Macaca mulatta: one gene and its partners. The protein of the gene in region 4 interacts with the protein of the main gene of each other region in a biochemical or structural test. Links are inferred from orthologs where the notes say so. Each region holds a gene or a part of one and is shown on either strand. Other genes may lie near its edges.

Region 1 (4,518 bases), on a different chromosome or scaffold from region 4:
GCTCCATTAATGCATCTGGGCCTTCACCTGGTATTCCAACCTGGTACAGCAGCACCCCATTGAAACAATTCCCCCTTGTGTCACTACACTTTTCCTGAGAAGAATCATGCACAGAGGAGCTCAAAATCCATGAGGAATCCCTCTTCTTATAGAAATCTGCGGGAAAAGCTCTGCTCATTTAGCGTGCACACAGGGAGTCCATGTGTTCTGATTGAGATAGGGGAAAAATCAGGTTTCCTGAACCCAGCGGATGTTACCATGGCGGGAGAAAGGAGGTCATCAGAGTCTTGGCACAATCATCAGTGAGTGAATGCGGGTCCTAGCAACCTAATCCTTGATTCTAGAGGTCACCTGTTGTAGAGCATATCCAACAATCTCTTTCAAAAACACCCAGGCCTGGGCTTTTGGCAGAGTGATGTGGGTTGGTTGAAGTGGGATAGGGAAGAACATTAGAAAAATAATTATAAAGGTGCACAGAGAAACATCCGGAATAAAAGGGTGCACAGCGCGGGAAGAATGAAGAAGGCACATGGATAAGATGGAGGGAAACCGAGGGCTGAAAGAGGCCACCACGGAGGTCACCTGAGAAAGGGAAGGAAGGCTGGCAAATAAAAACAGTTCATGAGACTTTTGAGATCCATGATTATTCTTAAACCGTAACACCCTACACACCTGCAATTCTTTATCTGGCGTAAGGAACTGGAAGAACAATGTAGCAGGAATGGGGAGAGCCAAGTCTCAGCCTCGGGGGCATGGCCTACATTCCACATGGATTTAGAATGAAAGGAGCAGGAGGAGAACAGTGCAGTTCCCAAGATGGCTTTCCACAAAGTTGACAAAATACACCCCAACTCACATACCCGGTCCCTAGTAACAGGGAAACCAGCCGTTTACTATAGTTCTGAATTCAATGCCAAGTTCCTTCTCGCAACTCACCAGGAGTGTCCAGCAGAGGGAGTCTCAAGGAGGTACTTAATAAAGAGAAAATTGTTTCATTTTAACACTCTAGACAGTGGGAGCATTGACTGTAGCCCCCTCCTGTAGACGCAGATGAACAATGAACGCCCGACATGGGTTCTCCCGCATGTTCACATGTCCACCGGCATGTTCTATTCTGCGTGGTGGAGTGATCAGAAATTTCGTTTTGTTTTGTTGAATGGTTAAATGGACCTTGTGTTCTTCAGAATCAAAGAGGAAAGCCCCTGGAATAACATCTCTCTGTTGCCTTCTAAACAGCCCCTTTGTTTCTAAGAGAGTCTGAAAAAAAATATTTACAGTCCATAGGTTATTTACAGCCTCGTTATCCAGCGCCTGACTGGTAACTTTATTCAGGCCAGAAACCTAATTCATTTGGAGCCCTGAATCTAATAACAGATTTTCTTTTCAGATAAGTTTTTTTTTTTTTTTTTTTTTTTTAAAATCAGCCTCTTATAACAGAGATAAAACTATTAACGCCTTCCCTGTCTCACTGGCCACAACTGTTCTCCGGATTTACAGGCGGATTACATTCCCCCCTCGTGCCCTCCTCTGTGCCACACAAACCCTGTCCCCTCTCATTTGCGATTTCATCCACAGAATATCTGAACAAAACCGAAAGAAAGCCAGGGGGACCCACACTAAAAGTATGTGAAGGCTGCGAATTCAATGATTTCATGAGACAAACATTTACACGATGAAACGACTGAAAAATCAGACACACTTGGGTTTAAAATTTCTCCTACTACAAGCACACAAAAACACATCGAAGTGTAAAAACTTAGTTGATTCTGGGTTGCTTTCTGGCTGGAAGCTGACAGAACGGACTGAAGAGAAACGAAAGACAGTGTGCGAGGCAGACCTACTGCTTTTCTGCCTTGCATTCTTTTCTTTCTTGCTAAAGGCAAATGGGGAAAAATACCCCGACGCCAGGTGAAGGTGCACAACACAGGTCGACCCAGACCGAGCCAGGAAAACGTATCCGCCGCTCCCCCGGCTGGAAAACCCAAAGTCCACGTCCCCTTCCACACGCTAATGCGGGGAGATTTTCGCCTATTTCATTGTTCTGCTTGGCTCTGACACGGACTTTTCATCTCTCTCCCCACCTAGCCCCGTGCATTCCGATTCCACAGCCCCCCCAAAATCGGAGGCTCGCGGAGAATAAAGGAGCGTGGGGTGGGCGCGGAGAGAAATGGGAAGGGGCGCGGGGCGGAGAGCGAAGTGGAAAGGAGGTGCTCCGAAAGGTAATGTGGGGGGGCGGTGGAAGCTGAGCCGCATCACCTTCATTTATCGCAAATAAATAAAAAGCACAGTCACCGGTCCGCCTTCCCCGGCGCCCCTGCCCTCCGCGGGCAGCCGCCCACCCTCGCACACGCCCCCTCCCCTCCTGCGCCCCCGGTCCCTCTCCCCGCCCTGGAAGCAGGACCCTGCCGGCGCCGGGTCCCGGTCATCTTCCGGGCGAGGGAGGGGGTCGCGGCCCCCTCGGCCCCGGGTGGGGGCTGGGGCGGGCGCCGGGGGCTGCGGGCGCGGGGCCGCGGGCAGAACAAAGCTGCGGGGGCCGCGGCGGGCGGCGGGCGCGGGGTCGGCGGGGCCGGGCGCCCCTTACCTTCGTACACGGGGGCCATCGGGGCCGGGGTGTCCGCGGTTCATGGCAACGGGGACGGGAAAGCGGCGCGCGAGCTCGGCCCCCCCAGCCTCAGTCGGAATCTGCCATCTTGAGCCTGTGTCTCCGCTCTCGGCGCAGCCGAGGCCGCCCGCGCCCGCATCACCGCCTCCCGTGGCCGGCGCCGGGGGAGGGGGCCGGGCGCGCCGCCGCCGCCGCCGCCGCTGCCGCCCGGGCCCGGCGCGGGGGGCTCGGGGCTCGGGGCTCGGGGCGGCCGGGCGGGCGGAGCGGCCGAGGCCGAGGCGCCGAGCGGCCGCGGCCCCCGAGCGGGTCCGCGGAGGGGCGGGAGCCGGGGGCAGCGCGCGGCCAGGGCCGGCGGGGCTCAGCTCAGCATGGCTGGGCGCGGGGGCTCCGCAAAAGTTGCTGGCGGAGGGGGGCGGCGGGCGGGGGCGGGGCGCGGGGCCGGGAGAGCCACAGGGAGTCCGCGCGCAATCGAGCGCCGATGGCACGGATGCGAGGCGGGGAAGGCCGAGCCGAAGGGCAGAGCCGCGCCGGCGGCCCGAGGGGACCGCGCCGGGAGGGGCTGCCGCGCAGCGCGGGGGGACAGGGCGCGGGGCGGGCCCGGGGTAGCGGGTGAGAGGGCCGGCCTGGACTCGGCGGGCGCAGGGCTCCAAGCCCAGCGCAGCCGAGCCGGTCCGCAGAGGGGCCCCCAGAACTTTGTGTGTGTGTGTGTGTGCGTGTGTGCACGCGCGTGTGTGTGTGCCCAGGTGCGAGGGTGCGCGCGTGTGCTGGCGGGGAGGGAACCGACCCGAAAGAGAGCCCCAGGCTGGCAAAGTGGCTCGCCCATCTCACAGCCGGTTGGCGCTCGCGGAGTTAGGAGTGGAATGAATGAATGAAGGAGTGGGCGCGCGCCGTGCTCCCGGGGAGGGAGGGTGAGTGGAGGAGCTTCGGAAAGCTACGCGAGGTCAGAGGCACCGAAGCCCTACCGTGCACGCCGCGGAAATGCAGCCCCCGGGGTGGTCGCTGGGTTCCTGCCGGAGTCTGGCTTCGACGTCACCCTGATCTTCGCCTCCTCGCGTCTACACTGTCCCGAGGGTCCCCCCTCCATCACTGAATGGGCGCTCACAGCTGTCTGGGTCCTCGCTTTTCACAGCGCTCTCTCCTATCAGGGCTTTCGCTAAACACTCTCCAAACTCTCCCCAGCCCGGAGCCTCTTCAGGTTTGCTTCTCCAGCTGCCTCCCGGATGCTTGGATAGGATGCCCTACCATCCCCTCCAACTTAGGAAGACTTGTTGAGTCTCCTCTTAGGCACAGTTTTTAAAACCGTGGGTCGTGATACAGTAATAGATCATAAAATAAATGCAGCAGAAGGCAACCGGCTTTCAAAAAGAATGAAATGGAATCCAATAGAAAATATTAGAGTCCATTGCCCTTAGTAAGGGCAACTATTGTTTCATAAACCTTTTGTTTCGATTATAGGTACTGGACAAGTGTACTAGACCATGATGTCAATTTTATTTCCGACTGTAAATCGTGGGTTTAGAAAAGTTGAAAAGCTGTCTTTTTAAGGTGTAAAATAATGATCTCTAACACTGTATGACATTCTTAAAAACAACCCCGTGATTTTCTCACTACTTCTTATCCTTTCCGGTCTCCATCTTCCATTCCCATCCTCTATTCCCCGCCCCTCCCCCCAAAAAAGGCAAGCTCTTTCACATTTTGTTAGTGGCACATCACGACCCCTTTCTCTCTGTGATCTTGGACTCTGCCGTCTTCCTTGCCCCCATAATCAATGCTACACTTCCTACCCCTTCTCTTAACTTAATGCCATTCACATTTGCAGAATCCTAGACCACTGTTGCTAAAAGGGACCTCAGAGGTCATCTGGGCCAGCCCTGCCCTTTTAGAATTGAAGAAATGGAGTCCAGAGAAGTAAAATC
Region 2 (3,964 bases), on a different chromosome or scaffold from region 4:
TTGGCCTCTAAAATAAAAGCTAGGTTTAGGATTTATAATAACTTACTTCTTTGCTATTATAAGTTAGAATCAGCAGGAAATACCCAGGCAATTTAACAGAATGTGAATCTATATTGCTCTCTGACAAATAGATCATAAGTGCATTGGAACACCAAGTGCAACTCACCTCTTGAAAGTTATGTTGGGTGAACTTGTCTGCTATCCTTAGCAACTCACGACATGAATGTGTGTCAGCAAAAGCCCGAATGCCCAGGCAGTTAGAAGGATCTAATTGTCTCTTTAAGAATTCACAGCAGGCTTCCTGTATTTCTGCCAGCTGGAGGAGGCAAGCAGCTGGCAGAAGAGTCTGAACATTGCCCTCTTCTACTGTTATCTGGGAGGTATATGCAAAGTCAATCAGTAATTCCATAGCCCTCTCATCGATGTCGCGGATCACTACTTCTGTCTGACGGCTCTCTGCCAATTCTCCTGTAAACATAGCTCGGAAGTAGGGACTACAGGCTGACAAAATGACTCGATGGGCATATATCTTCTTGGCGCCCACAACTAGCACCACATCACATAGCTCCCGGTGCTTTCTCAGAAGGTTAATCACTTCCAAGGTTTGTCGAGGGTGCTTGTCTGAGATATAGGGCATGCGGGCAGGTTGGGGAACCCCTTCTGGTAGTTTGTTGGGGTCTCCAAGGGTGCAGCGGCTTGTTACATCCATTCCAGTCTCTCCTGGTCGAATGTTGGTACACCTATAGGAATGATGGGGGAGAGAAAGAAGATGGCAGTATTATTATAAACTCTTTTCTCCCCTTAAATGTTTGTAATTCAAGCGATAAGGAAACGTAATTAGCTTGGTGATTTTTTTTTTTTTTAATTTTTTTGTAGAGATGATGTCTCACTGTGTTGCCCAGATTGGTCTCAAACTCCTGGGCTCAAGTGATCCTGTTGCCTCCACCTCCCATAAGCCAACATGCCTGGTCTACATAAACCATTTAAATTCCAGCTACTATGGTAATAAAACTTTTAGATAAGGTGGTTATGCTTATCCATTTTAAAAATTAAGCCCAAGTTAACATGCTTCAATTAATAGTTCAATTTTGAATTAAAGACAATCTAAAAAGTTTGGATTGACGGCCAGGTGTGGTGGCTCATGTCTGTAACCCCTGGGAGACCAAGGTAAGCTGATCACTTGAGGCCAGGAGTTTGAAACCAGCCTGGTGAATGTGGCAAAACCCTGTCTCTACTAAAATTACAGAAAAATTAGCCATGTGTGGTGGCACATGCCTGTAATCCCAGCTGCTTGGGTGGCTGAAGCACAAGAATCACTTGAACCCTGGAGGCAGAGGCTGCAGTAAGCCGAGATTGCATCACCGCACTCCAGTCTGGGTGACAGAGAGAGACCCTGTCTCAAAAAAAAAAAAAAAAAAAAAAAAAAGTCTGGATTGAAATTTATCTTTACATAGAATCTTTGCAAGTTTATTGAGATTAAAATAGTAAAGAAAATGGCAAGCTAAATGATGATTTAGCAGGACTCCAAAGAGCCTCCAGGTCGATTTTGTTAGACTAATTTGGGTCTAATTTCCTATTAGAGATATTAAATATGATAAGCCTCAATTAAAAGTACTACATATGTCAAACTGCTGTCAAATTGGTCTGAATCACTGAGGTTTCGGTATGATTATAAAATAAATGAATAAGTTCATAAACAGACATTCTTCAATTTATAAGTAAGTAGTATTTAAAAGTTGATTCTAAAAGTTTATTTATTTGGAGGTTTGTATTTTTCTATGGTAAGAGTGCTGTAAATGGGGACTAGGTTTAGTTGTAAAATTCAGTGCATCATAAGAAGCATTAAAAAATGAAATAGAAAGTAACAGCATACATTTCATTAAGTACGTTCAATTGCGTGTATGTACACACACAAATTCGTATAGATATGCATCACTGGTTCCCTTTGTAAACTGCAGGTTATATCAAAAAAGTTTAAATGCCACTGCCCTGAGTCTTGAAGTCCCAAGACGCAAGGAACAATAGGTACAAGAAGGGAGAAGGAAAAGAATCTCTCTCTTTTTCAGATTATTCTACAATTTGTTGTTGCTGGGTTTTTATATTTATTAATTTAAAAAAAAATTTTGAGATGAGGGTCTCACTATGTTGCCCATGCTGGTCTTGAACTCCTAGGCTCAAGCAATCCTCCTGAGTAGCTGGGATTAAAGGCACATGCCACCATGCTGGGTTGGTTTTTTTTGAGACAGAGTCTGGCTCTGTCGCGAAGGCTGGAGTGCAGTGGCACAATCTCGGCTCATTGCAACTTCCGCCTCCCGGGTTCAAGCGATTCTCCCGCCTCAGCCTCCCAAGTAGCTGGGACTACAGGTGCGTGCCACCATGCCTGGCTAATTTTTTGTATTTTTAGTAGATACGGGGGTTTCACCGTGTTAGCCAGGATGGTCTCGATCTCCTGACTTCGTGATCCACCTGCCTCAGCCTCCCAAAGTGCTAGGATTACAGGCATGAGCCACTGCGCCTGGCCGTTTTTGGTTTTTAAACAAAAGCTTTAGAGAAGCATGATGGCTCGAGCTAGTATACATAAACTGTAGAAGTCTATAAGTTGGGCATTTCCTGTACATTTAGGTATGTGTTGTCTAAACTTGTGTTAAAGGACGTATTTTTTAGAAGCTGCAATAATTAGGCCGGGCGCGGTGGCTCAAGCCTGTGATCCCAGCACTTTGGGAGGCCGAGACGGGCGGATCACAAGGTCAGGAGATCGAGACCATCCTGGCTAACATGGTGAAACCCCGTCTCTACTAAAAATACAAAAAAACTAGCCGGGCGAGGTGGCGGGCGCCTGTAGTCCCAGCTACTCGGGAGGCTGAGGCAGGAGAATGGTGTAAACCCGGGAGGCGGAGCTTGCAGTGAGCTGAGATCCGGCCACTGCACTCCAGCCTGGGCAACAGAGCGAGACTCCGTCTCAAAAAAAAAAAAAAAAAAGAAGCTGCAATAATTATTTTCCTTTAAAATGGGTTCTGGACAAAAAGGTGGTGGAGTATCTGTAAATTGCTCAAATTTGATGAACACTGCCTTACAGGATCAGAGTATATATGTATGTGTCTATAAATCTTACAAGTTGGTGTTCTTCACAAGTCTTCAAATATGAAAACTGCCCCTTCTTGCTTGTGTGGAGATCTAGATATGGAATGGAATGGATCATCGGATCATGTAGCATAATGCCCTCCTTTTACAGATGAAGAAACTAGTTTGGTTACGTGACTTACTCAAAATCATGAAGCTCTCAGTCTCTGGATGCTTTAGGGTAAACCACGCATCTCCTGAGGTACTGTGAATATTTAATAACTGTAATTCATGTGAGTACTGGGAGGTGAGGAGAGGGAAGAGTTTCTAGGATGATTTAGCAATTCAAAATAAGGTTTTGTTTTGTTTTTTCTTATGGATTACCCAAATTTCTGTACAACTGTTTTTAAAAGCCCAAGAAACTACACCAAATACAGATTTTTTTTTTTTTAGATTTGGTCATCATGAAAAATTTCATCAGTGAAATATCAAGAAGAGTCAAATAATTCGGTAAAAGCAGCCTATAAAATGCATTTCATATTTAAGGGAATAAGCATAACAAAGTGAACTTACATCATCCCTTTTCTAACTAAAATTAACTGGATGGTATAAGAAATTTTCAGAATTACTTTTAAGTATTGATAAAATACTTAAAATACTTTTATTATCTTTAAAGTCATTCCAGATAATACATAAGATACAAATTTGTATCTTTTCTTTGCAACAGGGTCTTGCTTTATCACCCAGGCTGGAATACAGTGGTTTGATCGTGGCTCACTGCTGCCTCGACCTCCCAGGCTCAAGTGATCCTCCCACCTCAGCCCCCCAAGTAGCTGGGACTACGGGTGTGAGTCACCGTGCCTGGCTTGAAAATTTGTATCTTATATTCATATTTCATATGTGG
Region 3 (4,676 bases), on a different chromosome or scaffold from region 4:
CAGCAGGAATGGAAGCAGCTGAGGCAATGGGTGTAAGAGTGGTGCTGCTGCTGCTGGTCTGTCCCAAAGAAACACCCTGCATTGGGGCTAAGGTGATTGTCTGGGCTTGTGGGTTCTGAACTTGGAGGTTCTGCAGCTGTAGAGTCTGCCAACTGACCTGTCCGTTGGGCCCCACTGTTGGTGTCCGGATGATGATGGGACCAGAGTTTGGAACAGCCTGAAGCTGGAGGTTCTGGAGGGTTTCTTGGGAGATAGCTTGAGTTGTAAAGGTCTGCCCTGACAATGGTGCTGCTTGGAGGGCCTGGAGGGCCTGTCCCCCTTGAACTAGCTGAGGCTGGATAAGAATTTGTTGCTGCTGTGTCTGCTGGTTTTGCTCTCCTTCTTTTTGCTGACCTGCTTGCAGTGAGCCTCCAGATGTCTGGTTTTGCTGGATGTTCAGAGCATCAGACCCCTGTAGCCCACTGACCCTCTGGGGTGTCTGGCCTTGAGAGTTGGTCCCTGATGATCCACTGGTAGTAAAGTTCATAATTCCCATGTTGCTGGTGGTAGTAGTAGTTGAGTAGCTATTGGCATTGGTAAAAAAGGAGCTGGAACTGGCTTGTGATGACACCAAGCTGGCAGAACTGATGGTAGTCCCTGAGGTGACAGGCTGTGAGCCGCTCTCCTGGGACCCAGAGCTGCTGATGGTGACTGCCTGAGAGCTGGGAGTCAAGGTAGCTGCAGAAACGCTGTTGACAGGTAGCAAGGTGATGTTCCCATTCAGGGCCACTGGTACATTGGTCACATACTGAGTCTGTCCTGAGAGTACATTATTAGCCAGGCCTTGGAGGGGGACAGCCTGCTGGAGTAGATTTGGCATAGCAGCAATGATGTTGCCTCCACTTCCTCGATTTGTGATAATCTGTTGGTTTGCACCTGGTATGATCTGTATTTGACCAGAACCATCCTGCTGCACTTGGGCCCCAGTGGCAGCAAACTGCAGCTGTTGCCCATCAACGGTCTGGAACTGTGGGATTACTTGATACTGAATATTAGGCATCACTCCAGGTAGTCCTGTCAGAACTTGCTGGTTCTGTAAGTTGGGAGTGGCAGCCACAACATACTGCCCACCAGAGACTGTGCGATTCTTGGAAGACTCACTGCCATTGCTGCCATTGGTACTGCTGCCACTCTGTTCCTTTGAGGTAGGGGTAGCCCCAGAGGAGGAAGAGATGATCTGCCAGCCATTGGCACCCTGTGAAAGTTGTGTGGCTGTGAGGTCAAGCTCACCTGTTCCCCCTGACTGACTCGGGCCCTGGGAGTTGTTGCTGTTCTCATTGGGTGACTCAATTCTGCTGCAAGTTGCTGCCAGCAGAGCCAAAGGGGATGGCTGGGACTCCTGGCCAAAAATAAGGGAGAGGAAAGGAGTTAGTGACACCCAGCTGCCAGCCTAGGGGGCAGTATACAACAAATAAACAGCAACGTAGTGCAGACAAGGAGCAAAAAACAGAAACAAAAAGCTGACCTATCTGTATTGCTGAAACTCCTGTCTTTGGGGATCTCCATACTCTTACTTCTTATCTATAAAATGGTTTTGATAAGCTCCCTAAAAAGCTTTCTATGAAGAGTAAGGCAATTATCTAAGAATATTTACATCCTCTCAACATCTTCCCCACTCTATTATTATCACTTACCTGCCCTCCTCCTCCTCCACTGCTGCTGCTACTGCCTGTGCTGCTACTTCGAGCCTGTGAAAAGGCACCACCACCATTACCACTGCCCCCATTATTGCCACCAACTCCTTTTTCAATCTTCACCACAGCTGTCATTTCATCCATGGAGTGATCTTGGTCTAAAACAATTAAAAAACAAACAACTTAAACTTGAGGGAAGAAAAGAGATGAGGTAGGAAGGATAAAAGGAGGCTATGATGAAATAGCAATGACTAACAGGAAGGCGAAAGGCGCCAGTATAAAGAAAATGGATTGGAGGGCAGAGGGGAGCTGCAGGGCATGCAGGACATGAACTAGGCTCAATGGTGCCAAAAGTGGGCCTCAATTCTCCCTTACACAAAATTAACTAAGAAAACATTCAAAAAGTGCTTTGGGGATAGGAAATGTGAAGGATGGTAGTCATGCTGAAAGAGTTTCAAAATAAGAAAAAGTATCCTAAGGGAAAAAAGGACAAGTAAGGCAAAAAACAATATGTGGGTGGATGGAAAGATTGCTAAAATTAAGGTTAAAAGAGATGGAGAGGCCAGGCGCGGTGGTCATGCCTGTAATCCCAGTACTTTGAGACGCTGAGGCAGGAGGATCACCTGGGGTCAGGAGTTTGAGACCAGCCTGACCAACAAGGAGAAACCCCGTCCCCACTAAAAATACAAAATTAGCCGTGTGTGGTGGCGCATGCCTGTAATCCCAGCTACTCCCGGAGGCTGAGGCAGGAGAATCGCTTGAATCCGGGAGGTAGCAGTGAGCCGAGATCGCACCATTGCACTCCAGCCTGGGCGACAAGAGCGAAACTCCCTCTCAAAAAAAAAAGAGAGAGATAAACAAAAACCCAAGTATTAAAAGTAACAAGAGGAGAAGGGAAAAAGAAATAAAAAGTTTTAGTAGGAAAACATTTGTGAATACTACTAAGGAACTAAAGGGGTGTACTGGTTAGTAGTCAGGAGGTTTCGGGGCGGAGGGCGGGCCCTGAGGGAAAGGGCGGTTTCGGGGTGAGGGGCGTGGAAAGGGCGGGACGGTGGGGCGGGGGGAAGGGAAATCTACGGAAAGTGGGGGGAGGAGGGCGCCGGAGCAGGCGGCGACCAGAGGACGGACCAGACAAGCGGTTGGCCCGGGCGGGGCCTTCACTGCTCGGGCCGCCCCCGCGGCTCCAGCCCCCGGCGGGAGGAGCCTCAGGCGGGCGGCCGAGTAGTGGGGGGTAAGGCCCGTCCCCCGTGGCCGGGGCGGGCAGGGGGCGGGCGAGGCCACGCTGCCCCCTCCCCCGGGGCGGGCGGCCCATCCCCCTCCTCCTCGGAGGCCCAGCCACTGCCCCGTCTCCCTCCCTTCCCTCCGCCCCGGGCGGGACCTAGGCCGCCGCCGCCGCCTCCCGCCCGCCCCCCCTCACGGCGGGGATCGCCCGGTCGGCCCTCGCGCGCGCCCCCTCACTCGCCTCCCACCCCTAAGCTTGGAGTGGACTCATCCTTACCGCTCATGGTGGCAGCTGAGGGACAAGCTCAAGGGGGTCCTGTCCGGGGGGGTTGGGGGGGGCCGGGAAAAACGCGGACGCTGACGAGGCAAGCGAACCCGGACCGGACAGGGAGGGGGGGGTGAGGAGGAGGGAGCAGCGCGCCACCAGCCCAACCTATGCCCCGCCCCTTCTCTGCTGCCCCGCCCAATGAGGGAGGGGGAAAGGTGGGACTTGCAGAAGAAAGACGGTGAGGTTTTCCAATGGCAAGACTCGCTTGCTCTCTAAGGCGTGTAAGACTAAGTTGCGTGCCTGGTGTCCGCCCAAAAAGACAGCCCTCTCAGTGTTAAAAGCCAATGAAAGATGCAGGAAGTGAAGATGGGCGGGAGCTGGGGATTATTGGCTTGGAAGGAAACCAGTCAACCGGCAGGCGGGCTCCCTGAGACATTGGGATAGGGAAAGGTTTGATAGGAATGACAGAACAACGGCCAACTAGAATCCGGGATATGCTTGGGCAAAATCCTAGTGGGAGGAGAGGTAAGAAGTAGACAGGAATAGGATAGGCTGAAGCTGATTAAAACCAATCAGAAATCAGGCGGGCAGCCAGGAAAGTTATGATTGGATTAAGACTGAAAAAAGACAGGAAAGGACGCATATTGACGTGAATTAAAAGCCAATTAAACGCCAGATTAACTCTGAGGGCGGAAACTTGGAGTGGCAGAGGAGAATTGGCGGCTCCCTAAGTTATTCAATCCAATGAGGGAACGAAGTAAGCCTGGCACCGCCTCCTAGTTGGCCAATGGGCGTTACCGGAGCCGCCCATCATGAGGGAGGGAAGAGGGCTGTGCCAAGAGGAGACCGTCGCCATATTGGCCCACCTCAGGGGACGTTGTTACAGTCATTAGGTGGGACGCTTTAGTGAAGTCTTGCAGCTCAACAGGTGTCAGAGCCAAGGCATTCGGCGCGCAGTTCCGCATCAACACTAGGATTTGTTTGAGTCTTCATTTAACTGCCCCTATAAAGTACCTCTCAAATCTTACCCGTTTCCCGGGTGGGCGGACAGGCGGGCAGATACCTCAATGTCGCTGCAAGCCCTGCGAGTGCAGCCGGAACGGGATTTGGGGACAGCGCTCACCAAATAAGTTAATACTGAGCTGACCAATATGCAGAGTCTCCGTAAGATTCCAGAAAACGCCATTTTGTTAAGTTCCGCCAGACAAAGGCGCTAACCACTTACGACTGGTTAACTTTTCAAGCTTTGAGGCTAAAGTGCGGATAAGTCACTTCCATTTTTCCGAGTTAATAGTAAATACCGCCTATGCATAAAGCAAGATAGTTGAGCTCCTGCTTTTTGCAATCACGAAGGTTAAACTTTACTGCAGGCACCTGGATTTCTGGCCTCCTCTTTATCCGTGTTTTGGTGGAGCCGGCCTTGATAGCTTGTCAATGACACGATAAGGTCATGTCCTTCAGTATTTGTATCTTAAATGTTGTCGCTTGCTTGTATGTTCTTATGTTTTAAAATC
Region 4 (3,964 bases):
AGACCCTCCTGTGCACTCCCCTCACCCCTTACTTTGAAAGTCCCCTTATTCCAGCTAATACACAGCTGCCACATCTCCCGGATTTGGATTGCAGAGCTGAGCACTGTCTCATTCTCCAGCTATGTGATGTGGCTCTGGCTCCTTGAGATCAGAAACTGGTCTGTGTCTCCTCACCTCTCAAGTGCCCAACACTAGGCAGGGCGTGCAAAGGTTGTCAGACAGCAGGTCATCCTAGAGACAAGAGGTCTCCTCCACTGAGCCACTGTACGGTTTTGGGTAAGCATCCAATCATCTCCCGGAGGTTTTCTTAGCTCCCTTCTACCCTAACCCCAGGTTCCAATTGACTTCTCTGTTCCGAGACACTGGTGGCTTAAGAGAACCTCCTGAAGTGGTTGGTCCCTCTGGCGCCAAAATGATACTGGGTCTGATTCTCAGCTTTGCAGTTTTTCGTTCCCTATGAGTCATTGCTAGGTCAATCCAGAGTCTTGTAAATTAGCAAAACGTGTCCCCTCTGGGTGGCTGCAGCCCTTTGTCAGGGCCTTATCTCCCCCTTATCCTGTGTCCTGGAACCTAAGACCTTACCAAATCCCAAAGACTGAATAAAAACCCAGTTTCCTTTTCTGTCAAATGGAGACGATCTCTTCTGACTCGCCTTCCCTAGGGTGCAGCAGAGGCACAGGGCGCCCAGGATGGTGGCTTGCGTACTTACCTGTCCCCTGGGTGATGCAAGAGCTGAGGTCCTGCAGGCGCACCTTGAACTCGTCAAAACCGTCCGTGCGCACAGCGGCTTGCAGGCTCTGGGGTTCCTCCTGGCGCAAGCGGCAGAGCGCCTGGCGCAGGAAACTGTGCATGTCCAGCACCTCCTGGTCCGATGCGTAGCACTTCATCCTCTGCACCAGCGCGCTGCCCGTGCGGATGCGCTGCAGCACAGCGTCCAGGCGGCCCAGCCGACTGGCCATCTCCTTGTAGTCGCGCTGGTACCGTGCGTCCACTGCCTCCAGCAGCTCGCGCTCCTGCGCCTGCAAGTGAGCTACCACCTCGCGCACGCGCGCGCGGATCAGCTCCTCGGTCTCGGCGCGCGCGCGGCCCAGCTGGCCGACAGCCGCATGCATCTGCGCGTGCACCGCGCCAAAGGCACTATCCTGCTCCTGCAGCGCCTGCGTCATGGCATCCAGCTCCTCCTGTCGCTGCTGGATCTCTGCGCTGATGTCGCACTTGAGCTCACTGTGGCCGCTGTCAAGGAGAGCGCACGAGCAGCACAGCGGCTTGGAACAGCCTCGGCAGTAGATGCTGTGGACACACAAGGTTGGCCTGGGTTAGGACTCTCCTGACTTTTTCCTCTTAAAACGTTCGTTATAAAATTCCTTTTCCAAAATTACCAGACTTTGAATCATGGCGTGTTTCTAGGTTTCTGCTTTTCCCAATTCATTGTTTGTGGTTATGGTGATAGTATCCAAACTACCAATAACATGAGTATAAAAAGTTACTACAGTAACAATTTCAACATCCGGGAAACAATACAAAGATATACGAAACGACAATCATCTCTTTCCACCACTTCTGAATTTCCCTTCCTCACTGAGGAAGCACCAGGTAAGCATTGTGGGGTGCACCCTTCCACACCTCTCTCCAGTGAAACCGCTTTACACAAATGCCAGACTGGCAGCTGCTTGCAGGATGGTACAGACTTGACACATGTCAGCCATGCCACTTAACCTTTGCGAGAGCCCCTTGGATGAGAATTATTGTTATGCATATTTCCCAGAGGAAGAAACAGAACATGTTAAATGATTGACCTGGATATCTACAATTTTGGGGATTGACGTTTGTCAAAAAAAAAAAAAAAAAAAGAAAGAAAAAGAAAGAAAAGAAAGAAATCGGCCGGGCGCGGTGGCTCACGCCTGTAATCCCAGCACTTTGGGAGGCCGAGGCGGGCGGATCACCTGAGGTTGGGAGTTCGAGACCAGCCTGACCAACATAGAGAAACCCCGTCTCTATTAAAAATACAAAATTAGGCGGGTGTGGTGCCGCATGCCTGTAATCCCAGCTACTTGGGAGGCTGAGGCAGGAGAATTGCTTGAACCTGGGAGACGGAGGTTGCAGTGAGCTGAGATGGTGCCATTGCACTCCAGCCTGGGCAACAAGAGCGAAACTCCGCCTCAAAAAAAAAAAAAAAACAAGAAAAAGAAAAAAGAAAGAAATCAACTCATATAATTACTTTGTAACTTCCTCCTCTTAACAAACTTTCACTCAGAGCATTCCTCTAGGTGCATAGGCACAGATCAGATGTATTCTCTTTAATACTCTGGTATATCCCAGATGGGCTACAATTGATTCAATCACTCATTTTGCTGGCATTCAGGTAATTTCCTGTTTGTGTATTTTCTTTCTTTCTTTTCCTTTCCTTTTTTTCTTTTGGTGCCAATATGGACAACACTTTAGTAATATCCAAGTTATATAGCCTAAACATGGATGCTTTTGTTCCTATGAAATAGATTATAAATATAGGCTTGCTAGATCAAAGTGTTTGTATTTTAATATTTTTATTTGGTTAATTTTTTTTTTTTTTTTTTTTTGAGACGGAGTTTCGCTCTTGTTGCCCAAGCTGGAGTGCAATGGCGCCATCTTGGCTCACCACAACCTCCGTCTCCCGGGTTCAAGCAATTCTCCTGCCTCAGCCACCCGAGTAGCTGGGATTACAGGCATGCACCACCACCCCGGCTAATTTTGTATTTTTAGTAGAGACAAGGTTTCTCCATGTTGGTCAGGCTGGTCTCGAACTCCCGACCTCAGGTGATCCATCTGCCTCAGCCTCCCAAAGTGTTGGGATTACAGGCGTGAGCCACCACTCCTAGCCTGGTTAATATATTTTAGCTAGCAGATACTTCCATAGCATTTATTGTGTATCAGACACTATTATAAGTGTTGGCAAATATCAATTCATTCAATCCTCCTGACAATCCAATGGAATAGATAACATTATTATCCCCATTTTAAGGATGAGAAAACTGGTGCAAGAGGCGAAATAATTTGTTCAAGCTCACACGATTAGTAAGTGGTAGAGTCTAGATGCAAACTCTAGTAGGCAGAATAGTGGCCTCTAAAGATGTCCACGTGCAAATTCCTGAGACCTGTGAATATGTCACCTTACTATGGCAAAAGGGTCTTTGCAGGTGTTACTCAATTAAGGACCTTGAGATAAAGAGATCATTCTAGATTATCTGGGTGGGTTCAATGTAATCACGTGAATCCTTACAAAGGAAAGGGCAGGGAGGCAGAAGGGGAGATGTGATGAATGCAGAGGTGGGAGTGTTGTGATGTTGCTGCTTTGAAGACAGAAAGGGGGCATGCACCAAGGAATGTGGGCAGCCTCTAGAAGCTGGGAAAGGCAAGAAAACATTCTGCCTGAGAGCCTCCCAAAGGAGCAAAGCCTGCTGACACCTTAATATACCTCAGTGAGACCTGTTTCAGACTTCTTACCTCCAGAACCATGAGAGAATACATTTACATTGATTTAAGCCCCTAAATTTGTGGTAATTTGTTACAGCAGCAAAACAAAATATAAAAACCCGGCCGGGCGCGGTGGCTCAAGCCTGTAATCCCAGGACTTTGGGAGGCCGAGACGGGCGGATCACGAGGTCAGGAGAACGAGACCAGGCTAACACGGTGAAACCCCGTCTCTACTTAAAAAAAAAAATACAGGCCGGGCGCGGTGGCTCAAGCCTGTAATCCCAGCACTTTGGGAGGCCGAGACGGGCGGATCACAAGGTCAGGAGATCGAGACCATCCTGGCTAACATGGTGAAACCCCGTCTCTACTAAAAATACAAAAAAACTAGCCGGGCGAGGTGGCGGGCGCCTGTAGTCCCAGCTACTCGGGAGGCTGAGGCAGGAGAATGGCGTAAACCCGGGAGGCGGAGCTTGCAGTGAGCTGAGATCCGGCCACTGCACTCCAGCCTGGGCGA
Region 5 (3,964 bases), on a different chromosome or scaffold from region 4:
ATTTGTAAAACTAATTTATTGAATAATTCATATTTCTGGACTTTGCAAAATCACTGAAAGCATTTAGTCTTGTTTAAGAAACTTACTTTATTGAGTTATCCAAACCCCTTGGTCTCGGTAATTTTTAAAAAGTCTATCAAAAATATAGTATTTGAATTAAACTTCAGCAATATCTTGTATTAGTTTCTCCTTTGGGGTTCCATCCCATTTTTGGATTTCCAGACTGAAGTTTTGCTTTCATTATAATCTTAAAAGCATGTTAAGAAAAGAACTATGTGTTTACAAATGTTAACAAGTCATCTGTTCACATTTAGCAATGCACTGATATTTTTAGTAATTTCAGTAAAAATAGTTCGGGTGTGGTGGCTCACATCTGTAATCCTAGCACTTTGAGAGGCCAAGGTAGGGGGGTCGCTTGAGCCCAGGAGTTTGAGACCAGCCTGGGCACCATAGTGAGACCCTGTCTCTATAAAAAATAATAATAATGTCCGTAAAAAGAGTAGAGTAATTTCAGTAACATGTGGTTTCACTCTATGTCTTAAAATAAGGATGATAAGTTAGTGTAAGGATTTTAGACTTTCTTTGTGAGGGTTCTGTATTTAATACTCAGTGTACATCAACAATATGTTTGATACTGAGAGTGGTCTACATTTGGTCACATTCCTTTTCATTTTCTAGAACTAGTGTTTATGATTCTCGAGCACGAGAAAGATTGCGCCAGATTGAAGAACAGAAAGCATTGGCCTTACAGCTTCAAAACCAGGTAAAAAAGAAAATTGGAATAATATTGCAAATAAATACTACATCGAAATAGAAACTATTTTGGAAAGTTACCCAGATTTGGGTAATTGCTGTTGTAATTCCAAGATCGTATGGTAGCATAGCATGTTATGATATGTGGTAAATGTTCTCGGTCTGTTCAGTCAGTACTACTCATTGTACATAAGACAAATATACATAGTCCCCTACTTGTGATGGTTTGACTAATGATTTTTTGACTTTACAAAAAAGCGAAAGCAATAGGCATTTCAGCATGCTCCTTGACTTATGACAGGTTTATTGGGACATAACCCTATCGTAAGTCAAGGAACAGCCACAGATTTCTTTATCCTGCTTATTCTGAAGTTTTATCTTTCAGAGATTGCAGGAGCGGGAACATTCAGTACATGATTCAGTAGAACTGCATCTTCGTGTACCTCTTGAAAAGGAGATTCCTGTTACTGTTGCCCAAGAAACACAAAAAAAAGGTCATAAATTAACTGATAGTGAAGATGAATTTCCTGAAATTACAGAGGTAAATTACATACACTTAATTTCTACACTACCAAGTATTATGTTTAGAAAGAATCTCTCGGACGAATTTCAAACATAAAAGCAATAGTGGTCAAGCACGGTGGCTCACGCCTGTAATCCCATCACTTTGGGAGGCTGAAGCGGGTGGATCACTTGAGGTCAGGAGTTCGAGACCAGCCTGGCCAACATGGTGAAACCCCGTCTCTACCAAAAATACAAAAATCAGCTGGGCGTGGTGGCAGGCACTTGTAATCCCAGCTACACAGGAGGCTGAGACAGGAGAATTGCTTGAACCCGGGAGGCAGAGGTTGCAGTGAGCTGAGATCGTGCCACTGCACTTTAGCCTGGGTGACAGGCCAAGACTCCATCTCAAAAAAAAAAAAAAAAAAAAAAAAAGCCGTAGAACACTTGGTATTTAAGTTTTCTTGTATATTTCTGCTTTCACTTATTTTACATACCAATCTGGGCTTTATTTTTAAAATATTGAAAATTTATGAAAGAACTGTTGGTGGCTTTTAACAACTTCAGTGGAGAAGCATTTAATACATTTGTCTTTCCTGTCATGTGCATTTTTACTTACTGCACACATACAATAGTTTGATCCTAAATTGTAAGCTGAGGTTTGCTCTTTTTTTAAGTAATAAAACCCATTATAGAAAATTTAGAAAATACATGGAGGTCTGTGTACATTTTTAGATAATCCGTTTCTTTATCCATACGTCTCTTTGAAACCTACCTTGTAGCTAGTGAGCATAACACACTTACTATAGTTGTACTGAATTCTGTATTTTATATTTTAAAAAAGATCTCTAAGAAAGTAATTTCTAAAAGATACTGCCTTTACTCTCTTACTATAACCTTTCATTAAAAAATCTGTTTCTCAGGAAGTTGTTTGGACCAGAGATATAAAATATAGTTAATTTTTCTCATGACTTAGAAAATTTGATAGCAGAAGGTTATTTCAGATTTTAGGAATTAATATGGAAACAAGGATCTGAATGTTGTGCTGAAAAAGAGAAGGGAGGACTAGATGAAGTGTAAAGAAGTAATCAGGGATTACTGGGAAGGAATAGAAACCAAAATGTTACATAGAAGTAAACTAATTAACAGTAAATTTATAAACAATCGAATGGTGATAAATATAGTCTGAGGATTTCATGGGGCTTGGTGAGAAATATGGTTTTCCTGAAGCCACGCATGTTTGATGTCTTGACACCTTTTGTTTTCTTAGGAAATGGAGAAAGAAATAAAGAATGTATTTCGTAATGGGAATCAGGATGAAGTTCTCAGTGAAGCATTTCGCCTGACCATTACACGCAAAGATATTCAAACTCTAAACCATCTGAATTGGCTCAATGATGAGGTAATATTGCATCTATTTTTACATACAAATAACAAACATTAAGTGGCAGTTAAATTAAGGCATTATCTCACTATTTCTCAAAATGTGGTCCATGGATGACCCGCATTGAAATCACCTCTCATAGGCCTCTTCATTCTTGTAACCATGAGGGAGTGTGGTGGAGACAGGCATTTTTAACAAACATCTCAGGTGTATTTAAGAGTCTGAGAACCACTGAATTTACCTTTTCTTGTATTGAAGATTTGAACACTGAAGAAGACATTCACTCATTGGTATTCTCACTCTCTTTAAGGCTCTTGTTCTGCAGTTCATCTCTTCTGAACAAATAAGTATTAGCTGACCGTTTTGCAGCATGAAGGAATACTTTGGGATTTCTTTATAGGAATCCAGTTTTACTTCCCTTTCTACCTAAGTTCTACTCATTTTAGATCGCTTACAAAATGAATGATAAGATTTCCAAAATAGCCTCCATTTATGTATGATATTTTTTAAATGGACATTGACAAAGTTATTATTAAATATTTGAGGTATTGGGAAAGTTACGGTCTTCACCTCCTAACTCCAGTTTATTTTAAGTATATTAATTACACTACAATTTTTAAACTGATCTATTCCTAAACCTAAACCTGTAAGTAGCTATTTTATTTTAGAAGGTTATTTTTACAGCAAAGGAAAACTGGGTTGGGTATCTTTTCCTAAGTACCTTCTTTCTGTGAGCATCCCTGCCTAATCTGGGTATACTCAAGCTTCACAGCTGTGGAGGATCTTTAGTTTCTCAGTATAGTAATCATTAAATATTTTAGATATCCATATCCTGTTTTTGCATGATCAAGACCTTCCAAATAATATTTGCTAATAACTATTGATCATTTACCTCATTAGGTACGATTCATGTTTTATGTGTTTTATTCTTGTAATAGTCATCATATCTTTGGAGGTAGATATGATAGTTTTATCATCTCCATTCTACAGATAAAGAAACAAGGCATAGAAAGATTTAAAAACTTGCAAGGTTATACAGCTAGTAAACAGCAGAGCCAAGATTAAGACCCAAGTATTGGGTCTTATCTACTATATCTTACCACCTCAGAATCTTAAATTGGATCCTGGTCTTAAGATCAGATATATAGAACTTAGGAGCCATGTATCATGTCCAGGATGCTGGGTTTCTCTGGGGCCAGCCCCATTCTTTTTGCCACTAGTTGGTTTATAAGATAAAAATTTCAGGAGCTCATCACTCCCTGAATAATATCTGTGACCAAGAATAATAAGGAAGACATGGTTTGTTACTATCTTTCTTTAGAAGAA
Region 6 (3,964 bases), on a different chromosome or scaffold from region 4:
GTTGAGAGAGTAGATTTTAAGTATTTTCTCTATTTAAAAAAAAAAAAAAAAAAGATGGCGGAGCATGGTGGCTCACACCTGTAATCCCAGCACTTTGGGAGGCCGAGGCAGGCAGATCACAAGGTCAGGAGCTCAAGATCATCCTGGCTAACATGGTGAAACCCCATCCCTACTAAAAATACAAAAAAAAAAAAAAAAATTAGCCGGGCGTGGTGGCAGGCGCCTGTAGTCCCAGCTACTCGGGAGGCTGAGGCAGGAGAATGGTATGAACCCAGGAGGCAGAGCTTGCGGTGAGCCGAGGTCGCACCACTGCACTCCAGCCTGGGCGACAGAGAGAGACTCTGTCTCAAAAAAAAAAAAAAAAAAGAAAGATAAGTAAGTGAGGTAATGCATGTTAGTTAGCTCAAATTAGCCATTCTACAATATATACATATTTCAAAACATGTTGCACATGATAAATATCTATGTATTTTTGAGACACCTTCTCACTCTGTTGCCCGGGCTACAGTGCAGTGGTGCAATCATGACTCACTGTAGCCTCGACCTCCCAGGCTCAAGCAATCCTCCCACCTCAGACTCCCAAGTAGTTGGGACTATAGGAACATACCAGCATGCCCAGCTAATTTTTTTATGTTTGGTAGAGATGGGGTCTCACTATGTTGCCCAAGCTGGTCTTGAATTCCTGGGCTCAAGCAACCTTCCTGTGTTGGCCTCCCAAAGTGCTGAGATTACAGGCATGAGCTACCATGCCAACCTGTAATTTTTATCTATTAAATAAATGTTTAAAGGTTTATTTAATTTTTTAAAAAGAGGAAGAAAAGTGCCCTTTGGGCAGACCAATGAGAAAAAGGTGGTACACAGGTTGTCAAGTAGAGGACAGTCCAAATTTCAGCACCCAGTTGCACCTCTCCTACACACTCATAAACAGCAAAACCCAAAGCAGCTGCCCTGACTATAACTATCACAGAGAAAACAAAATAGTCGGAAACAGGGAAAACTAAGTTAATCATAAAATGTACTTCAGGACGCCCAATATAGACATAGTTCCAAGATACCAGACTGAAGACTGACTGCATGAAAATCCCTTAGGCATGATTTCATTTCATTTGGTTAGACGGGGTCTCACCATGTTGCCCGGGCTGGAGGGCAGTGGCTATTCACAGGCACCATCATAGCTCACTGTAGCCTTAAAATCCTGGGCTCAAGGGATCCTCTAGCCTCACCTTTCTGAGTAGCAGGGACTACAGGCTCATGCCACAGCCCCTAGAGGCATGATTTTTTAAATCCCTACCAGAATCTAGAGAAGAGTACTTGTAGGAACCCTTATTTTCAAAATGTCTTGCACACACATAGACACCCTCCAAGTCATTCGACTCTCAGATAAGTTTGGGAAGCTCTATGGTTTCTTTAACTAAAGAAAAATAGTATTTCTCTTGTCTAATCACCTTGAGCTACTTTTAACTCTATGGTTGTTTTTGTCAGGTACCCTTCTAGATATTACCCTGAAAAACAATTGTTCATTTCAGATTTTATTTCCATAGTTTTAGAAATGGATGCTTTGCCGGGCGCGGTGACTCACGCCTGTAATCTCAGCACTTTGGGAGGCCGAGGTGGGCGGATCACGAGGTCAGGAGATTGAGACTATCCTGGCTAACACGGTGAAACCCCATCTCTACTAAAAATACAAAAAATTAGCCAGGCGTGGTGGCGGGCGCCTGTAGTCCCAGCTACTCGGGAGGCTGAGGCAGGAGAATGGCGTGAATCCAGGAGGCAGAGCTTGCAGTGATCCGAGACCACGCCACTGCACTCCAGCCTGGGCGACAGAGCGAGACTCCGTCTCAAATAAAAAAAAGAACTGGATGCTTATATGATGATGCTAATAAACATCTCCACTTACACAGGATAACCATGTAGTATTTACAAAGGTAGATGCTCTAAAGTGAGCCTCTTACAGAAGCACCCATATCCTAACGCCTGGTATATAAAAGTAACTCAATAAATGTATACAGAAATAAAGGAATGGGGCTAGACGTGGTGGCTCACACCTGTAATCTCAGCACTTTGGGAGGCCAAGGCAGGCAGATTGCTTGAGCTCAGGAGTCTAAGACCAGTCTGGCCAACATAGTGAAACTCCATCTGTACCAAAAATACAAAAAATTAGCCAGGCGTGATGGCATGTGTCTGTGGTCACAGCTACTCAGGAGGCTGAGGTGGGAGGATCACTTGAGCCTGGGAGGCAGAGGTTGCAGTGCCACTGAACTCCAGCCTGAGTGACAGAGTGAGACCATGTCTCAAAAAAGAAAGAAAGAAAAAAATGAATGGAAAAAATGAAGAAAGGAAAGAATGAGGTGAAGAGGAAGGAAAAATGAATTAATGGCCTGAAACAACAATTCATAGATATCTAAGACTGATGTGGTATAAACTGAATCAATCAATGAACTATAACTTATTTTAATCACCATGATAATTCAATTAACAGTATATGGGCCAAGTGGGGCCTCACGCCTGTAATCCCAGCAATTTGGGAGGCTGACGCAGGCAGATCACAAGGTCAGGAGTTCGAGACCAGCCTGGCCAACATAGTGAAACCCCATCTCTACTAAAAATACAAAAAAATTAGCTGGGCGTGGTGGCGGGTGCCTGTAATCCCAGCTACTTGGGAGGCTGAGGCAAGGAGAATCGCTTGAAACTGGGAGGCGGAGGCTGCGGTGAACCGAGATTGCGCCACTGCATTCCAGCCCAGGTGACAGTGCAAGACCCCGTATTAAAAATAAAAAATAAAAAAATAAAAATAAATTTAAAAAAAAACACAGTATATGGCATTACATAAAACCAATTAAACCTTAAAACCTTAAAAATCTGTCTGGATGGAACTTTTTCAAAATTTAACAATGCAACTAGGACGGCAAAGTTGAATCTTGAATGCTAACTTACTCATCTTTTTTTCTGAGACAGAGTTTCACTCCTGTTGCCCAGGCTGGAGTGCAATGGCGCGATCTCGGCTCACCGCAACCTCCGCCTCCTGGGTTCAAGCGATTCTCCTTCCTCAGTCTCCTGAGTAGCTGGGATTACAGGCATATGCCACCATGCCCGGCTTATTTTGTACTTTTAGTAGAGACAGGGTTTCTCCATGTGGGTCAGGCTGGTCTCGAACTCCTGACCTCAGGTGATCCATCCGCCTCGGCCTCCCAAAGTGCTGGGATTACAGGTGTGAGCCACTGCGCCTGGCAACTTACTCATCTTTACTCACTTAAACCATACTCTGTAAGGACAGGACAAATTTTCCTCCTATGAGGGAGTGGAAAAAAAAAAATCCAGTAACCATAAGATAATAATATTACCTTTATTTCTGCTTAGTGAAAGTGCAATTTCAGAATTGTTATTCAAAGGACGGCGTTTTCCTTTCCCTACAAGCTCTGTATTTACAAAGGTTCCATTGCCACTGTGATCTTCTATGTATGCAATGTAAGAGTTTTTAGGACCCACTTCCTAAAACAGAGAACATTTTATTTCAAACTTTGAACAGCAGAGATTTATAGTGGGAAAATACCTAAAAACAATGACTAGATTACCAGCTCTCCTAGATACGTGGGTATTTGTTACCTACCCTGAAAATCCGAAAGTGTTTCTTGCTATATGTCCGGTATTTATCTGTTCTTTTCAGCAGTGGTTCATCAAAGCAATATTCACAGCTTTTGTCCCTCCCAAACCAGTAGTTGTCATTCACACATTCTGTAATACAAAAGCATGCAGCAGACAGCTGTTGAATTTCATATATCAAACGTTTAAAAATTGGTCATAAATGCTAATTGTAGGAAAATAGCCTAAGAAGGCAATCAGAATTATCAGTCTGCTTATCAAGATTTTATAAGATTAAAAATCAGGAGAGAAAAAACAACATTTACAACGAGTTTAACAAATGGCAGTTTATCTATAATCACATGGCCAGGCGCAGTGGCTCACA
Region 7 (4,515 bases), on a different chromosome or scaffold from region 4:
TCCCTAGTGCTGCAGGCGACCCTGTCACACTAACTCCCGGCAGCCCGGTGATGTGGACGGCACCGGCCCCACCTGCAGATGAGGGTAATGAAGCTCAGAGGAGTTCCGTGATTTGCTCGCTTCACACTGTTGCAGCCTGGCCACGAAAGAACCAGCATTCCCGACTTCGGGATTCTTTCCACCACACACTTTCGTCCCTAAGGGGTGGGGGGCGGGGGGAAGATAAAATAACAACCGCGGAAAAGGAACCACTTACATGTGTCTAGCGCTTCCTAGAGGCTACTCAGGATATGGGCCCACCACCCGGCCGGGAAGGCGGAGATTTGAAGTCCAGGTTCTACCCCGGGCTCCTGAGTTCTACTGCGTTACTTTATGCGAGTGTCCCCCGCCTTCTGAGCTTGTTTTCCCGGAAGCAACTCGGCGCGGGTGGAGAGTGTGTGCGTGTGTGTGTGTGTGTGCGCGCGCGCATGTTGTGCGTGTTGTGTTAAGCGTGTGTGTGTTGTCCGGGGGCGGGAAGGGGAGTAGACTAACACCGGGGTTCCCCGAGTTTCGGATCGCCTACACGCTTGTTCCCATCTGGACCCTGTTACCCACTAATTGCGCCCACTATAAAAACTGCCCCTCGGAGGCAAAGCTGTGATCCCCCGCGCCCTTTCCCCCACGGTCCCGGAGGATGAAGTGGGGTGCAACGGAGACTCAGCTGAGCGTCCAGTTTTGGGCAATACAAATCTCTCAGCTTCTAAGAGCAGCCAGACAACCCCGCGGACCATCCCTCCTGAACTTGACCGAGATGCAAACTTCGCAGCGTTTCTCAACGTGGGGGGCCGACTCTCGGGAGACCGCCCCCAAACTTAAGCCCCCTTAGGCTCGCCCCCAACTGGGACTTCACAGAGCCACCTTAAGGGCGGCGCTCCCGCCCCCCGGAAGTGCGGGGGGGCGGCGGACCTGGACTCTCAGCCTCCCGCCCCGCGCGGTGGCGGACGCCGGTGGATGACTTCGAGCCCCACAAGTGGGGAAACACAACCACCCCTCGCCCGCACCCTTGACCCAAAACAACTGGCCGGGTTCCCTGGCCTCCCGGGTCCCCGCATCCCCTGCATCCCAGTCCGCAGCCGTGAACTTGAGCCCCCTCCGTCAGATGTTGCGAGCGTCCGCCCGCTCGCGGCAGCCACCGTCACTAGACAGTCAAACCCCAAGACGTCAGCCCACAATGCACCGGGCGGGCCGGGAAAAACGGCCCGGGGAGGGGACCGGGGAAGAGAGGGCCGAGAGGCGTGCGGCAGGGGGGAGGGTAGGAGAAAGAAGGGCCCGACTGTAGGAGGGCAGCGGAGCATTACCTCATCCCGTGAGCCTCCGCGGGCCCAGAGAAGAATCTTCTAGGGTGGAGTCTCCATGGTGACGGGCGGGCCCGCCCCCCTGAGAGCGACGCGAGCCAATGGGAAGGCCTTGGGGTGACATCATGGGCTATTTTTAGGGGTTGACTGGTAGCAGATAAGTGTTGAGCTCGAGCTGGATAAGGGCTCAGAGTTGCACTGAGTGTGGCTGAAGCAGCGAGGCGGGAGTGGAGGTGCGCGGACTCAGGCAGGCAGACAGACACAACCAGCCAGCCAGGACGGCAGTATAGTCCGAACTGCAAATCTTATTTTCTTTTCCACCGTCTCTCCAACTGCCCAGAGCTAGCGCCTGTGGCTCCCGGGCTGGTGTTACGAGGAGTGCCCAGAGAGCCTGGTCTCCAGCCGCCCCCAGGAGGAGAGCCCTGCTGCCCAGGCGCTGTTGACAGCGGTGGCGAGCAGCGGTACCCACGCGCCCGCCGGGGGAAGTCGGCGAGCGACTGCAGCAGCAAAGAACTTTCTCGGCCCGGAGGACCGGAGACAACTGGCCCAGAGTCCCGGAGCGAACTTTTGCAAGCCTTTCCTGCGTCTTAGGCTATTCGGCGGCGGTAAAGACCAGGAGGCGGCGGACAGCCACGCAAAAGAAGAAGGACGTGCGCTCAGCTTCGCTCGCACCGGTTGCTGAACTTGGGCGAGCGCGAGCCGCGGCTGCCGGGCGCCCCCTCCCCCTCGCAGCGGAGGAGGGGACAAGTCGTCGGAGTCTGGGCGGCCGAGACCCGCCGCTGGTCGGCCTCTGCGGGTCGGCACTGATCCGCGCCGCCGGGAGAGCCGCTGCTCTGGGAAGCGAGTTCGCCCGCGGACTCCAAGGAACGGCGGCGCCCGAAGAGCGCTCAGTGAGTGACCGCGACTTTTCAAAGCCGGGTAGCGCGCGCGCGAGTCGACAAGTAAGAGTGCGGGAGGCATCTTAATTAACCCTGCGCTCCCTGGAGCGAGCTGGTGAGGAGGGCGCAGCGGGGACGACAACCAGCGGGTGCGCGCGCTCTTAGAGAAACTTTCCCTGCCAAAGGCCCCGGGGGGCACGGGTGTCCCCCGCTTGCCAGAGCGCTGTTGCGGCCCCGAAACTTCAGCACGCAGCCCAAACTAACCTCACGTGAAGTGACGGACTGTTCTATGACTGCAAAGATGGAAACGACCTTCTATGATGATGCCCTCAACGCCTCGTTCCTCCCGTCCGAGAGCGGAGCTTATGGCTACAGTAACCCCAAGATCCTGAAACAGAGCATGACCCTGAACCTGGCCGACCCAGTGGGGAGCCTGAAGCCGCACCTCCGCGCCAAGAACTCGGACCTCCTCACCTCGCCCGACGTGGGGCTGCTCAAGCTGGCGTCGCCCGAGCTGGAGCGCCTGATAATCCAGTCCAGCAACGGGCACATCACCACCACGCCGACCCCCACCCAGTTCCTGTGCCCCAAGAACGTGACAGACGAGCAGGAGGGCTTCGCCGAGGGCTTCGTGCGCGCCCTGGCCGAACTGCACAGCCAGAACACGCTGCCCAGCGTCACGTCAGCGGCGCAGCCGGTCAGCGGGGCGGGCATGGTAGCTCCAGCGGTAGCCTCGGTGGCAGGGGGCAGCGGCAGCGGAGGCTTCAGCGCCAGCCTGCACAGCGAGCCGCCCGTCTACGCCAACCTCAGCAACTTCAACCCAGGCGCGCTGAGCAGCGGCGGCGGGGCGCCCTCCTACGGCGCGGCCGGCCTGGCCTTTCCCGCGCAACCCCAGCAGCAGCAGCCGCCGCCGCAGCCGCCGCACCACCTGCCCCAGCAGATGCCCGTGCAGCACCCGCGGCTGCAAGCCCTGAAGGAGGAGCCTCAGACAGTGCCCGAGATGCCTGGCGAGACGCCGCCCCTGTCCCCCATTGACATGGAGTCCCAGGAGCGGATCAAGGCGGAGAGGAAGCGTATGAGGAACCGCATTGCTGCCTCCAAGTGCCGAAAAAGGAAGCTGGAGAGAATCGCCCGGCTGGAGGAAAAAGTGAAAACCTTGAAAGCTCAGAACTCGGAGCTGGCGTCCACGGCCAACATGCTCAGGGAACAGGTGGCACAGCTTAAACAGAAAGTCATGAACCACGTTAACAGTGGGTGCCAACTCATGCTAACGCAGCAGTTGCAAACATTTTGAAGAGAGACTGTTGGGGGCTGAGGGGCAACGGAGAAAAAAAATAACACAGAGAGACAGACTTGAGAACTTGACAAGTTGCGACGGAGAGAAAAAAGAAGTGTCCGAGAACTAAAGCCAAGGGTATCCAAGTTGGACTGGGTTGCGTCCTGACGGCGCCCCCAGTGTGCACGAGTGGGAAGGACTTGGCGCGCCCTCCCTTGGCGTGGAGCCAGGGAGCGGCCGCCTGCGGGCTGCCCCGCTTTGCGGACGGGCTGTCCCCGCGCGGACGGAACGTTGGACTTTTCGTTAACATTGACCAAGAACTGCATGGACCTAACATTCGATCTCATTCAGTATTAAAGGGGGGAGGGGGAGGGGGTTACAAACTGCAATAGAGACTGTAGATTGCTTCTGTAGTACTCATTAAGAACACAAAGCGGGGGGGAGGGCTGGGGAGGGGCGGCAGGAGGGAGGTTTGTGAGAGCGAGGCTGAGCCTACAGATGAACTCTTTCTGGCCTGCCTTCGTTAACTGTGTATGTACATATATATATTTTTTAATTTGATGAAAGCTGATTACTGTCAATAAACAGCTTCATGCCTTTGTAAGTTATTTCTTGTTTGTTTGTTTGGGTGTCCTGCCCAGTGTTGTTTGTAAATAAGAGATTTGGAGCACTCTGAGTTTACCATTTGTAATAAAGTATATAATTTTTTTATGTTTTGTTTCTGAAAATTCCAGAAAGGATATTTAAGAAAATACAATAAACTATTGAAAAGTACTCCCCTAACCTCTTTTCTGCATCATCTATAGATACTAGCTATCTAGGTGGAGTTGAAAGAGTTAAGAATGTCAATTAAAATCACTCTCAGTGCTTCTTACTATCAAGCAGTAAAAACTGTTCTCTATTAGACTTTAGAAATAAATGTTCCTGATGTACCTGCTTCTATGGTCAGGTTATACTCTTCTTCCCCCAGCTATCTATATGAAATTGCTTACCAAAGGATAGTGCGATGTTTCAGGAGGCTGGAGGA

Evidence for each region.
Region 1: of the proteins of PML (region 4) and HIPK2, one has a biochemical effect on the other in vitro, tested with the Homo sapiens proteins (2 studies listed by BioGRID). The link is inferred for Macaca mulatta from reciprocal best matches to the Homo sapiens genes PML and HIPK2.
Region 2: the proteins of PML (region 4) and KLHL20 form a complex in vitro, tested with the Homo sapiens proteins (3 studies listed by BioGRID and IntAct, with this or other methods). The link is inferred for Macaca mulatta from reciprocal best matches to the Homo sapiens genes PML and KLHL20.
Region 3: the proteins of PML (region 4) and SP1 form a complex in vitro, tested with the Homo sapiens proteins (2 studies listed by BioGRID, with this or other methods). The link is inferred for Macaca mulatta from reciprocal best matches to the Homo sapiens genes PML and SP1.
Region 5: of the proteins of PML (region 4) and SENP1, one has a biochemical effect on the other in vitro, tested with the Homo sapiens proteins (2 studies listed by BioGRID). The link is inferred for Macaca mulatta from reciprocal best matches to the Homo sapiens genes PML and SENP1.
Region 6: the proteins of PML (region 4) and CHEK2 form a complex in vitro, tested with the Homo sapiens proteins (2 studies listed by BioGRID, with this or other methods). The link is inferred for Macaca mulatta from reciprocal best matches to the Homo sapiens genes PML and CHEK2.
Region 7: the proteins of PML (region 4) and JUN form a complex in vitro, tested with the Homo sapiens proteins (2 studies listed by BioGRID). The link is inferred for Macaca mulatta from reciprocal best matches to the Homo sapiens genes PML and JUN.

The regions. Positions count from the first base shown.
Region 1 is NC_133408.1:179,611,543-179,616,060, forward strand, and holds the start of HIPK2 (homeodomain-interacting protein kinase 2), read right to left. Parts: upstream 2,971-4,518; 5' UTR 2,601-2,970; coding exon 2,582-2,600; intron 2,220-2,581; exon of another isoform or gene 2,036-2,219; intron 1-2,035.
Region 2 is NC_133406.1:31,211,033-31,214,996, reverse strand, and holds part of KLHL20 (kelch-like protein 20), read right to left. Parts: intron 741-3,964; coding exon 167-740; intron 1-166. UniProt on the Homo sapiens protein: Substrate-specific adapter of a BCR (BTB-CUL3-RBX1) E3 ubiquitin-protein ligase complex involved in interferon response and anterograde Golgi to endosome transport.
Region 3 is NC_133416.1:60,525,828-60,530,503, reverse strand, and holds the start of SP1 (transcription factor Sp1), read right to left. Parts: upstream 3,218-4,676; 5' UTR 3,179-3,217; coding exon 3,172-3,178; intron 2,668-3,171; exon of another isoform or gene 2,471-2,667; coding exon of another isoform or gene 2,389-2,470; intron 1,832-2,388; coding exon 1,674-1,831; intron 1,379-1,673; coding exon 1-1,378. UniProt on the Homo sapiens protein: Transcription factor that can activate or repress transcription in response to physiological and pathological stimuli.
Region 4 is NC_133412.1:51,755,849-51,759,812, reverse strand, and holds part of PML (protein PML), read right to left. Parts: intron 1,291-3,964; coding exon 710-1,290; intron 1-709.
Region 5 is NC_133416.1:55,172,160-55,176,123, reverse strand, and holds part of SENP1 (sentrin-specific protease 1), read left to right. Parts: intron 1-678; coding exon 679-763; intron 764-1,138; coding exon 1,139-1,294; intron 1,295-2,524; coding exon 2,525-2,656; intron 2,657-3,964. UniProt on the Homo sapiens protein: Protease that catalyzes two essential functions in the SUMO pathway.
Region 6 is NC_133415.1:22,828,496-22,832,459, reverse strand, and holds part of CHEK2 (serine/threonine-protein kinase Chk2), read right to left. Parts: intron 3,733-3,964; coding exon 3,608-3,732; intron 3,490-3,607; coding exon 3,342-3,489; intron 3,289-3,341; coding exon of another isoform or gene 3,251-3,288; intron 1-3,250. UniProt on the Homo sapiens protein: Serine/threonine-protein kinase which is required for checkpoint-mediated cell cycle arrest, activation of DNA repair and apoptosis in response to the presence of DNA double-strand breaks.
Region 7 is NC_133406.1:181,864,779-181,869,293, forward strand, and holds JUN (transcription factor Jun), read left to right. Parts: upstream 1-1,517; 5' UTR 1,518-2,501; coding exon 2,502-3,506; 3' UTR 3,507-3,834; downstream 3,835-4,515. UniProt on the Homo sapiens protein: Transcription factor that recognizes and binds to the AP-1 consensus motif 5'-TGA[GC]TCA-3'.